Canis lupus familiaris: one gene and its partner. Each later gene encodes a partner of the first gene's protein in a complex. Links are inferred from orthologs where the notes say so. Each region holds a gene or a part of one and is shown on either strand. Other genes may lie near its edges.

Region 1 (4,536 bases):
TGAAGCAGACTCATTTTCTGAGTGTCTGCAAATTCATATATAGGTCTCTTCTTCCTTTGATTTTTTTTTGTACTGTTTCCACTTTGCTTTCTGGGACTATGTTCCTGGAATCAAATCAGTACAGTGATACAATTTGAATATTAGAGGTCACTTGATAACCACCCACTTACAAATTCTCTTAAAAACAGAACTGGAAATTTGAAAGAAAGATGAAGTATCTTTAGGTTTCCTAAATCTATAGAAAACATTAAGCAAAGTTCAACTGATGTTTTTATCTTAAGGTATACAGGGACAAAAATAAATATGTCTGAGTCGGAAGGAATTGAGAATTCTAGTCTCCTCACCCTTCCTTGTTTCTCCTTCCTCCTCACAGTCTCTGCTTGAGTTGACAGGGCAGCCTGTTATCTCTGGGCTGTCACTAAAATGACGGTCTTCCCTAGACCTTTAACTCTCATGCACCTCTTACTATGTCTCAAGTCATTTTACTCCATTCAGACTCAATGCCCTCTCCTGGAATGTGAGTTTAACATCTCCTAAATCACTAAATCGTTATGTGGCTTAAATATGTAACCTGACACAGTAACAGTATTCACAAGAGTCAAAAGATGGAAGTCACCCAAGTGTCCATTCACAGATGAGTGGATAAACAAAATGCATATACAAACACTGGAACATTATCCAGCCTTTAAAAGGAAGGAAACCCTGTCACATGCTTGTACAACATGGATGAACCTTGAGGACCTTTTAAGTGAAATAAGTCACAAAACAACAAATACTATATGATTCCACTTACGTTGGGGGCACCTAAAGAAGTCAAATTCGTAGAGACAGAAAATTGAATGTAGCTGCTGGGTGCTGAGGGAACATACTGTTTAACAGGCAACAGAATTTCAGTTTGGCAAGATGAAACAAGTCGTATGAGTGGTGCGGATGGGGATACAATGATGTGAATGCATTTAATGCCACTGAACTATATACTTAAAAATTGTTACAATGGTAAATTTTGTTACATATGTTTTACCATAATTTAAAAAAAAAAAAAAAGAAAACCTCAGAAAATCCCTAGCTCAGTGACAAGTACACCGTTGGTGCCTAATAAATGTCAATTCTCTTCTTACCATTCACTGGTATGACACCTGCCTTGGGATCGTGCTGTACATAAATCCCTCACCAGCTGATGTTAAAAGACTATCAAGCCTTTCCTGAAAAGGACTTGTTTCTGGAAGCAGAGGGTGACACGTAAGGGAGAGCCCCAGGCACGTTGTCGCCATCCCACCCTCCCTAACTCCCTGAGAGCAGCTCCCACTCGTGGGCGTCGCCCAGCACGTAGGTGTGGAGCGAGACGACCAGTGTCCGAGGAGGCAGCGTGACCCCTCCACCGTGGATGCGATATTTTCTTGTTTGACCCCGAGGACCTGGGAGGGGACGCGAAGCAAGGACTTGACGCTGCGGAGCTCGGACTTCCTGCCGCCTGGGGCTCCCGAGCTGCCCCGCCTGCTCCCCCGCCCCTCGCGCCTCCCTCTCCTCCCACTCCCCGCCCCTCGGCCCACCCCCTTCGGACACGCCTCGACGGGAAATCGAAAGTGAAATAGGGAGCCTGCCGCCGGCTGCCGAAAGCCCTGAAAAGGTGAGTGACTCGCCCCGACCCGAGTGCCCCCGCCCTGGCTGGGGGACCTCTCTCCCCTGCCCCATCTAGTCCTCGCCCCTGGGGCCTGCAGACCCGGTTCCCCCAGGGCTAGCCCAGCCCCAGCCCCAGTCCCAGCCCCAGTCCCAGCCCCAGCCCCAGCAGTTCCTCCCGGGCTGGCAGCCTGCCTGGGACGGGGCCCCAAATGTGAACGTGACACCCAAGCCCCCGGGGGCGCTGCCCTAAGCGGGGGGCACCGGGGCAGAAACCTAGCCCAGCCCGGAGTGTAGTCCGGGCACTCCCCTCGACACTTCTCCTCTGGGGGTGAGAGGGGGCAGGACAGTTTCAGACGCTAGAAACCTGTGGGTCTGTGCCCCAGAGGCAATGAAGCCAGCTACCAGGTTCCCAGAAGGGAGAGGAGAGCCCAGGGAGTGCTCAGGCACTGTTCATGTGCGCATATAAACATATACAGGTACCCATATGCACACATATACCTGCAGGTATATATACATACAGACAGATATGTAGAAATATATTCTTATGTATATAATCACAGATATAGAAGTAACTCCTGTGATTATTGTGCAGATAATGAAGATATTTCCAAAGCAGGTAGCACCTTCTCTGGCTTATGGAGTGTACAGAGTACATGGTCCCTGTCATACAGATGAGCTGCTCAGCAGCGGACTGGTGACCTGAGAGGGCAGAGAGTGGACAGGAAAAGCCTGGGACAGAGGATGAAGCAGAGAGGGCCATGATGAAAATAGAGTTATAAACAGCTTTATCTCTGAAGTTCTCAACAACATTCAGTTTCTTTGGGGGACTCAGTTTCCCCTTCTGTCTGACTAGGTAAGTGGATGAGACTAGAGAGGAGAAGCTCTTATTATTCAAGTTAATGTTCTGGTGTTGTTTTCACCCCTTCCACTTCACTGTTCCTTGTGTTTTCCTTTGGATTGTTTTTCTTCTCACACAACCCTTCTCTTCTGCTCATTTCCCTCTCTCCTCTCCCCACCAGGGTACCCCAGGATCTCCACAGTGCTGCTTACTAAGAACATCACCCCTATGGCTGCAGCAATGCCCTTGGCAATGATGTGGGAGGAGGTCACATGCCCTATCTGCCTGGATCCTGTAGTGGAGCCTATGAGCATTGACTGTGGCCACAGCTTCTGCCACAAATGCATCTCTGAGGTGGGGAAAGATGGTGGCGGCGTCTGTCCTGTGTGTCAGCACACCTTCTTGCTCCGAAACCTCCGGCCCAATTGGCCACTGGCTAACGTGGTGGACAACCTTAAACAAATTGGCCAGAATGCCAATGAAGTCACACAGAGGGAATGGTGTCAGGTACATGGAGAGAGACTGCACCTGTTCTGTGAGGAAGATGGGAAGATCCTCTGCTGGGTATGTTCCCAGTCCCAGAACCACCGTAACCACAAAACGGTCCCTGTCGAGGAGGCTGCTCAGGAATACCAGGTAAGGACTTAGCACAGAGGCCTGACCAAGTAGAAGGGAGCTGGGTCCGTGCTTGGGGTTTTGTTCTCCAGAGTGAGGGAGGCAAAGTCACCTGTGGAGTTTCAGGGTTGGGAAAAGGAAGGGGTTTCCCACCTTCCAGGTCTAATTGAAGCAGAGAACTGCAAGCTCAGGACAGCTTTCTCATTCCCCAGGACCAGGGAGTACGCTTGGGAAAACGCTGCAAGGATCACACTTCCTTGTGGCCTTCTGGTTAATTAGGAATGAGGAATGCTCCAACTCCACACCACCACCTCCAACAGCGTGGCTGTGTTTTGAAAGAAACCTCAGGCTCTTGCCAAAGTCTTCCCATCCCCAGAATCTCTATCCCAATCAGACTGTAGTCTTCCCTCTTTCTCTGCACTCAAGTTTTTCAAAGAACCAGCATGTCTTCATGGCGCCTCACCCTACTTCTTGGACTGGTCGGGCGCTAACCTACCTTTCTCTGCAGGAGAAGCTTAAGGTGGCATTAAGGAAACTGAGAAAAGAACAAAAGTTGGCTGAGGAGTTGGAAGTGAATACTGCAATGAAGAGAGCAGCCTGGAAGGCAAGTGTTGTGCTCCAAAGGGAATCTCAGGTCAGAAGCCAGGGCAGAGTCCAGGGCCCCAGACTCAAACCCTAAGCATAGCTATGCCCATCTGAGGAGTGATAATATATCTCACTCACCATGAACCAGCTGTCCTCTAGGTCTCTTGATAGAGGTGAATAAAAAGGAGAGAGCTCAGATCAGATAGCAAAATCAAGAGTCTTAGGAGAAGGTGCCATACCCTTCGGAGAGGTACAAGCCATACCCTAAAGCTCCTGCTCCTTAAGCCTAGTCTTAAAACATGACGGCACCTTTGCCTCCATGTCTGGTCAGTGGTCTCTCAGGAGAGATGCCCAATGGCTAGGCCTGTCAGGAGGTACAGACTTAAGGGAACAATCCAGGTCAGACATAGGCAACTATCTGGTCATGCTGGTTTTTCTGACTGTGTTCAGATCACTGGTCCAAAGTAGGATGGAGAATAAAGCTTGTTCTGTATCTATAAGGGCATGGAGGGAACTCATGGCCAATAGAGCCCAGAAAGGAAGATTTGGGATCAGAGAAGGGTGAGTCAGGCTGTGGTGGCAAAAGGACTCATCCTGTGCCATCGGTGACCTTCCAGTCACTAACAGAAGAGCAGCCAAGATTATCCCCAAAACTCCTTTTCCTCAGGCCTGGGGAACAGTGTTATGAGCCTGTGTTTGGATGGTTGTTGGGGTGGGGACAGGTGTTACTCTCTCAGGAACTCACTAAGATATGAAGACAGATTTGGGCACATCGAGGTGCAGACTGGGTTTTGAAAGAGGCTGTAGAAAGTCGATAACATAGGTCAATGCAGCTGTGGTTGTAGGACAGCCCCAGTGTGCCCCACCATAATCCCATT
Region 2 (4,632 bases), on another chromosome or scaffold:
AAAAACTACACTAACAAGGTCAGGCTAACTGGATTAAAGACAAAAGAAAAAGTGAAGTAGCTTCCCAAATGTGTGTCAGAAATTTTGTTGACCAAATTAACTAGGTTTATTTATTGTGTTATGAGCACACAGCATACTAAGAGCTTCATGTGCATTTTTTAACTTAATCTTCACACCAACCCATGAAGTGGGTATTATTATTCCATTTCACAAGAGAAACGAAGACACAGAGAGTTCATATAACTTCCCATGGCTGGTAAACAGCATAATTAGGATGTAACGTCAGATCCATCTGACTTCACCACAATCCTTTATTGCCTAATTAATTCACCCCCTCTCCTGATATAGATTTCCAGATCATAACCTGCCGGTTCTCTTTTCCAGTGAAAAAGTCAAAACCCAGAAACAATAGTTTTGTTTTTTTTTTTTAAAGCAACCAACCAACCCTTCTTCAAAGAAAGTCTGGTGGGAGAACTGAGGAATATACTTATTACCGTGGCTCTGCAAGACTTCATCTTAATTTCTTTTAATCTGCCTCTTATTCTTCCCCTATCACCCACCCAATTCCTGTTTAGGGTCCGATCGCCTCCTCTACAGACGACTTCAATAGCCTCCTGATTCTGTCAACTCTAATGTCAGAATCCATCCTTTTAACAAATCTCTAAGCTTCTATGCGTGACCCCCCTATAGTTTAATCCATACACATCAGTGTGTCCTTTTAACAGATGACATCACAAATCTGCTCAACACCACCTCTAGCCCTATCTCCCACTGCTCTCCCTTTTGCTCAGTCTGCATATGGCTTCCTTCTTCCTTGAGCAAACATGACATGTTTTTGCACCAGGGTCTTTGCACTGCCTTTGTCCTCTGCTTAGAGCCCTCTTCTCCAAGATATTTGCGTGGCACATTCCTCACACCTCCTGTATGCTTTTGCTTAAAAAGCTTGTGTCTAAGTGAGGCTATCCCTTAATATCTCTTAGTGAGGTTTAAAGTTGTAAACCATCTTCCAACCCCAGGACTTCCAATCCCTCTTGGCTTGTTCTCTACTTGTTTTTGGCCACAGTATTTACCACCTTCTTAACATATTATACACCACATTTATTATGTTTATTGCATCCCCCCTCTCAAACAGAAGCTTCATGAGAGCAGGAATGCTTATGTTTTGTTCCCTGCCTTATCCCCAACACATAGAACGATGCCTCCCACATAGCATGTGCTCAGCAAATATTTGCTGGATTAATGTTTTAAATGACTTACTGGCAAGAAAAACTGATAACCCTAAGTCATTGCACTGTGTTTACCCTATGGCTTTTGTACTCTTCGGATTCTGATCCACTCTGGGAGATACTCAATGACATGTCTGAGAAGCCTGGGGAAATGATATGGTGAGTTCTACATCTGAGTCAGTTCACTCTAGCTCTGGGGATGGATCAGGGGAGGATAAGACTGGAATTATGAGTCCATGCCAATATTCAGGCAAGAGATAATGAGAGTATGAAAAACATCTAGGAGACAAGAGGGAAACATTCAATGATTGGTTGGGGGCTGGAAGATGGTGGGAAGGGACTGGCCCTCAGGTTTCTGGCTGGGTGACTGAACAGATAATGTGGGCAGTAATGGAGACAGATCAAACCAGAAAAATCCCACTTGGGAGGTCCGAGGGATATAAGGCCCTACTCCTAGTTTAACATTCACGTTAGTAGTCCTTTGACAAATAACTAAAGCAATTATGGCAACAAACTCAACTGAAGCTACAGAGCAACGGAATATAAATAACAAAAATCCTACAAGATTATTGCTTATGTTCCCATTTAACAATGGCACTGAGCTGGCCTTTGAACACGCAGATTCCCTTCAAAGGGAAGGAGGCAGGAAGATCTTCTGGGTTAAAATTTCACATGGGTTAAAAGTCAATTGTGCACCTGGAAAATATATACCTACCAAGATTCCTGTAGATTTCAGTGACAAAGGGTTGTCCCATTGCTTTGGAAATCGACTTCAGAAGTAGGCAATTTTAAAAGCGTGCCATCCTAAAGATCGCTTAACAAAGATTAGCAATAAATAGTTCAGTCCACTTCTTAAGTGACCGACAGTTTTACCCTCATACCTTACCTGGAAAGCTGTCTCGATTTAGCTTAGGCCTGCGGACTATGACAAAGTCCTTGTCATTCCCCTTGCTTTTCAGCCGTTTTCGGGGCGGGCTCTGAGGGTGGCCCAGATTTGAGAGCAGTTCCTGGGGGATATTCTCACTGTCCACCTCCTCCTTCTCCAGAGCAGAGACCCCCATGCCCGACAGCAGTTCAGAAGTCTTACTAGAATCCCATCCCCACGTGAAGCTGGTGGTAACGTTGCTACTCTGGTCTGGAATCTCCTGGAGGTGTTTCCTGCAGAAATGCACAACAGCCCCGGTTTCTTTCAAAAACACACCCGTAAATAATTCAAAGATAGGCCTACATGAAACTCTAAGTTATGCAATGCAGAAAACTTTAAGAATTGCATTTTTTTTTAAAGTGCCGGCGGCGAGTTTCCAAGAAGGAAAAAAAGAAAATAACCGAACAAATCAAAAAGGCTTTTTGATTTACGATCACGGAGAAGGCCTCAAGAATGTCTTAAAGTGGAGGGAACAGACAAGCGGGGGGGGGAGGACGGGGGGGGGGCAAACGTACACCGGCAGGAAAGCTCAATAAGGGAAGGCAAAAACCGCACGCTGATCACCGCACTAAAGCATCCGGCCCCCCACACTTTCCCAAAGAAGGGGCTGAGCAACGATTCAATTACAACATTCACAACAGTATTAGCGCGTAGCAATATTCGCGGCCTAAAAGAATTGAGGCGGTTCATTCACTCTCAGCCCCCTTTTGCAATCGGTTTACCTATGCATGGCGTCCACAGCTTCTGGAGTTTTAAACGCGTGCATTAATTGCAGAACTGCACGCCTCCGGGATTCCCGCTTTGGCGCGCGGCGGCTCAAGGCGTGCAGCTCCGACCCCCAGCAGCGAGACCCGCGAACTCTAGCAACGTTCCATCCTCGCCGCGCGCGCGAGGGCTCTTCTACTCGCCCTCCGCCGCCGCCGCCGCCGCCGTCGGCCGCCCCGCTGCCTGCCGGGAACTGTAGTTTCCGTCTTGCCTCGTAGTCCCGCCGGCTCTGCGCGACGTCCTTCCTCGGCTGACTTTACCCGCCTCGGAGATACCCACAAGCCCCCGCGCCCGCGAGGCGGGGCCGTCCACGCGGTAGGCGGGGAAGCGGAAGTGGGCGGCGCTCCGGCTGCCTGGGAAATGTCAGCCGCCTGACTGGGGACGGATTTTCCTTACCCCGGAGCCTGCAGGCCTTTCTAGTGGTCGTCACCGCCGTCGCCCCGGATCGCCGGTCGCAGGTCCGGGACGGCTGTGGCGGACGCGGGGTTCCCGGTCCTTGTGCGGACGCTGTCTGGCCTGATGGGGAGGGCGTGAGCCCTGTGGGGTCTGCGGTCTGAGGCCGGGCGCTGGCGGAGATCGAGAGGACCTCGGAGACCCCGAGCCGCCGCCGCCGCCGCCACCGCGGGCCTTCGTTCCCGGCCACCGAGTGGAGGCGGCAGCCCGGTCCGCCGGCCAGGTGAGACGATGAGGGCCGCGGGCGTCCCACTTGCGCCCCCCCGCCCCCCCCCCGCCGCCGCCGCCGCCGCCGCGAAGCTGCTTCCTCCATCTGGGAGATAGTGACCCTTAGCACTGCGGGTCACCAGGTGCCTGTTCTGTAGGCACTACGGCTCCGAGGTTCCTCCCGAGAACACGCCTGACGTGAGGGGCAGATTACGCTTGTGGAAGCGCTTTGTAAACTAAAGCGCGGTTGGAAGGAGAGGCGGTGGCTTAATTTTAGGGGAGCAGGAGAACACGGCGGTTGCCACGGTGTGCGGTGGGACAGCTGCGCAGCCCCCTGGCAGCCCAGACGAGCTTGGGAACAGCTAAGGGGACGGTCGGTAGGTCTGTGAGGGCCGTGGAGCGCCACGCTCGGGGCCGCTGGGCTGCTCGCGCTCCGCCGACGACGTCCGGCGGCGTCGCCGTCTGAAAGGCGAGCTGCTGCGAGCCTGTCGCCGCCCGGGAGAGCCTGGGGGCGGCCAGAGCAGGGAGTGTGCCGCATTCCAGGTCGGATGACCGTGCGAAATCCACAAACGGTGACCCCTGGAGAACAGTGGAAGGGAGAGGGGAATAAATTCCAACCTTCAATTAAAAAAAATTAAAAAAAAAAAAAAAGGAGAGGATTGATCAAGTTCAGAAGTAAGCAGAGCCCTCTGCTAAGTCATCACAAAAATAGAGTATTGCTTGAGCATGCAGTACGACAATACCTTCAAGAACCAGTGTGAAAAAAAATAATAATAAAAAATAAATAACCAGTGTGACAGACCATTAAAAATGATTCCCTTTTTGCTGGAATTAAACCTCTCTTGCCCAGGTATGTGCTGGTTTCAGGCTCGGTGCTTGGTGCTTGGCTTGAAAAGTGACCAATTCTCGATTAAGCTATTCACGAACCTTTAGTTGTTTTGTTTTGTTTTTGTTGTTGTTTTTGTTTTTCTTGAAAATAAGTGGAATTGATGTACAGAAGGGATATGCTCACACATGGACTTTCATTTAAACGAGGTGGAAGTAGGCTGAATGTTC

The links. The genes of interacting proteins can lie anywhere in the genome.
Region 2: TRIM21 (region 1) and SKP2 share a complex: the UniProt entries of both Homo sapiens proteins name them as parts of the SCF(SKP2)-like complex. The link is inferred for Canis lupus familiaris from reciprocal best matches to the Homo sapiens genes TRIM21 and SKP2.

What each region holds. Positions count from the first base shown.
Region 1 is NC_049242.1:26,906,730-26,911,265, reverse strand, and holds the start of TRIM21 (E3 ubiquitin-protein ligase TRIM21), read left to right. Parts: upstream 1-1,508; 5' UTR 1,509-1,627; intron 1,628-2,639; 5' UTR 2,640-2,686; coding exon 2,687-3,094; intron 3,095-3,581; coding exon 3,582-3,707; intron 3,708-4,536. UniProt on the Homo sapiens protein: E3 ubiquitin-protein ligase whose activity is dependent on E2 enzymes, UBE2D1, UBE2D2, UBE2E1 and UBE2E2.
Region 2 is NC_049225.1:73,293,510-73,298,141, forward strand, and holds the start of SKP2 (S-phase kinase-associated protein 2), read right to left. Parts: upstream 3,141-4,632; 5' UTR 2,918-3,140; coding exon 2,874-2,917; intron 2,385-2,873; coding exon 2,113-2,384; intron 1-2,112. UniProt on the Homo sapiens protein: Substrate recognition component of a SCF (SKP1-CUL1-F-box protein) E3 ubiquitin-protein ligase complex which mediates the ubiquitination and subsequent proteasomal degradation of target proteins involved in cell cycle progression, signal transduction and transcription.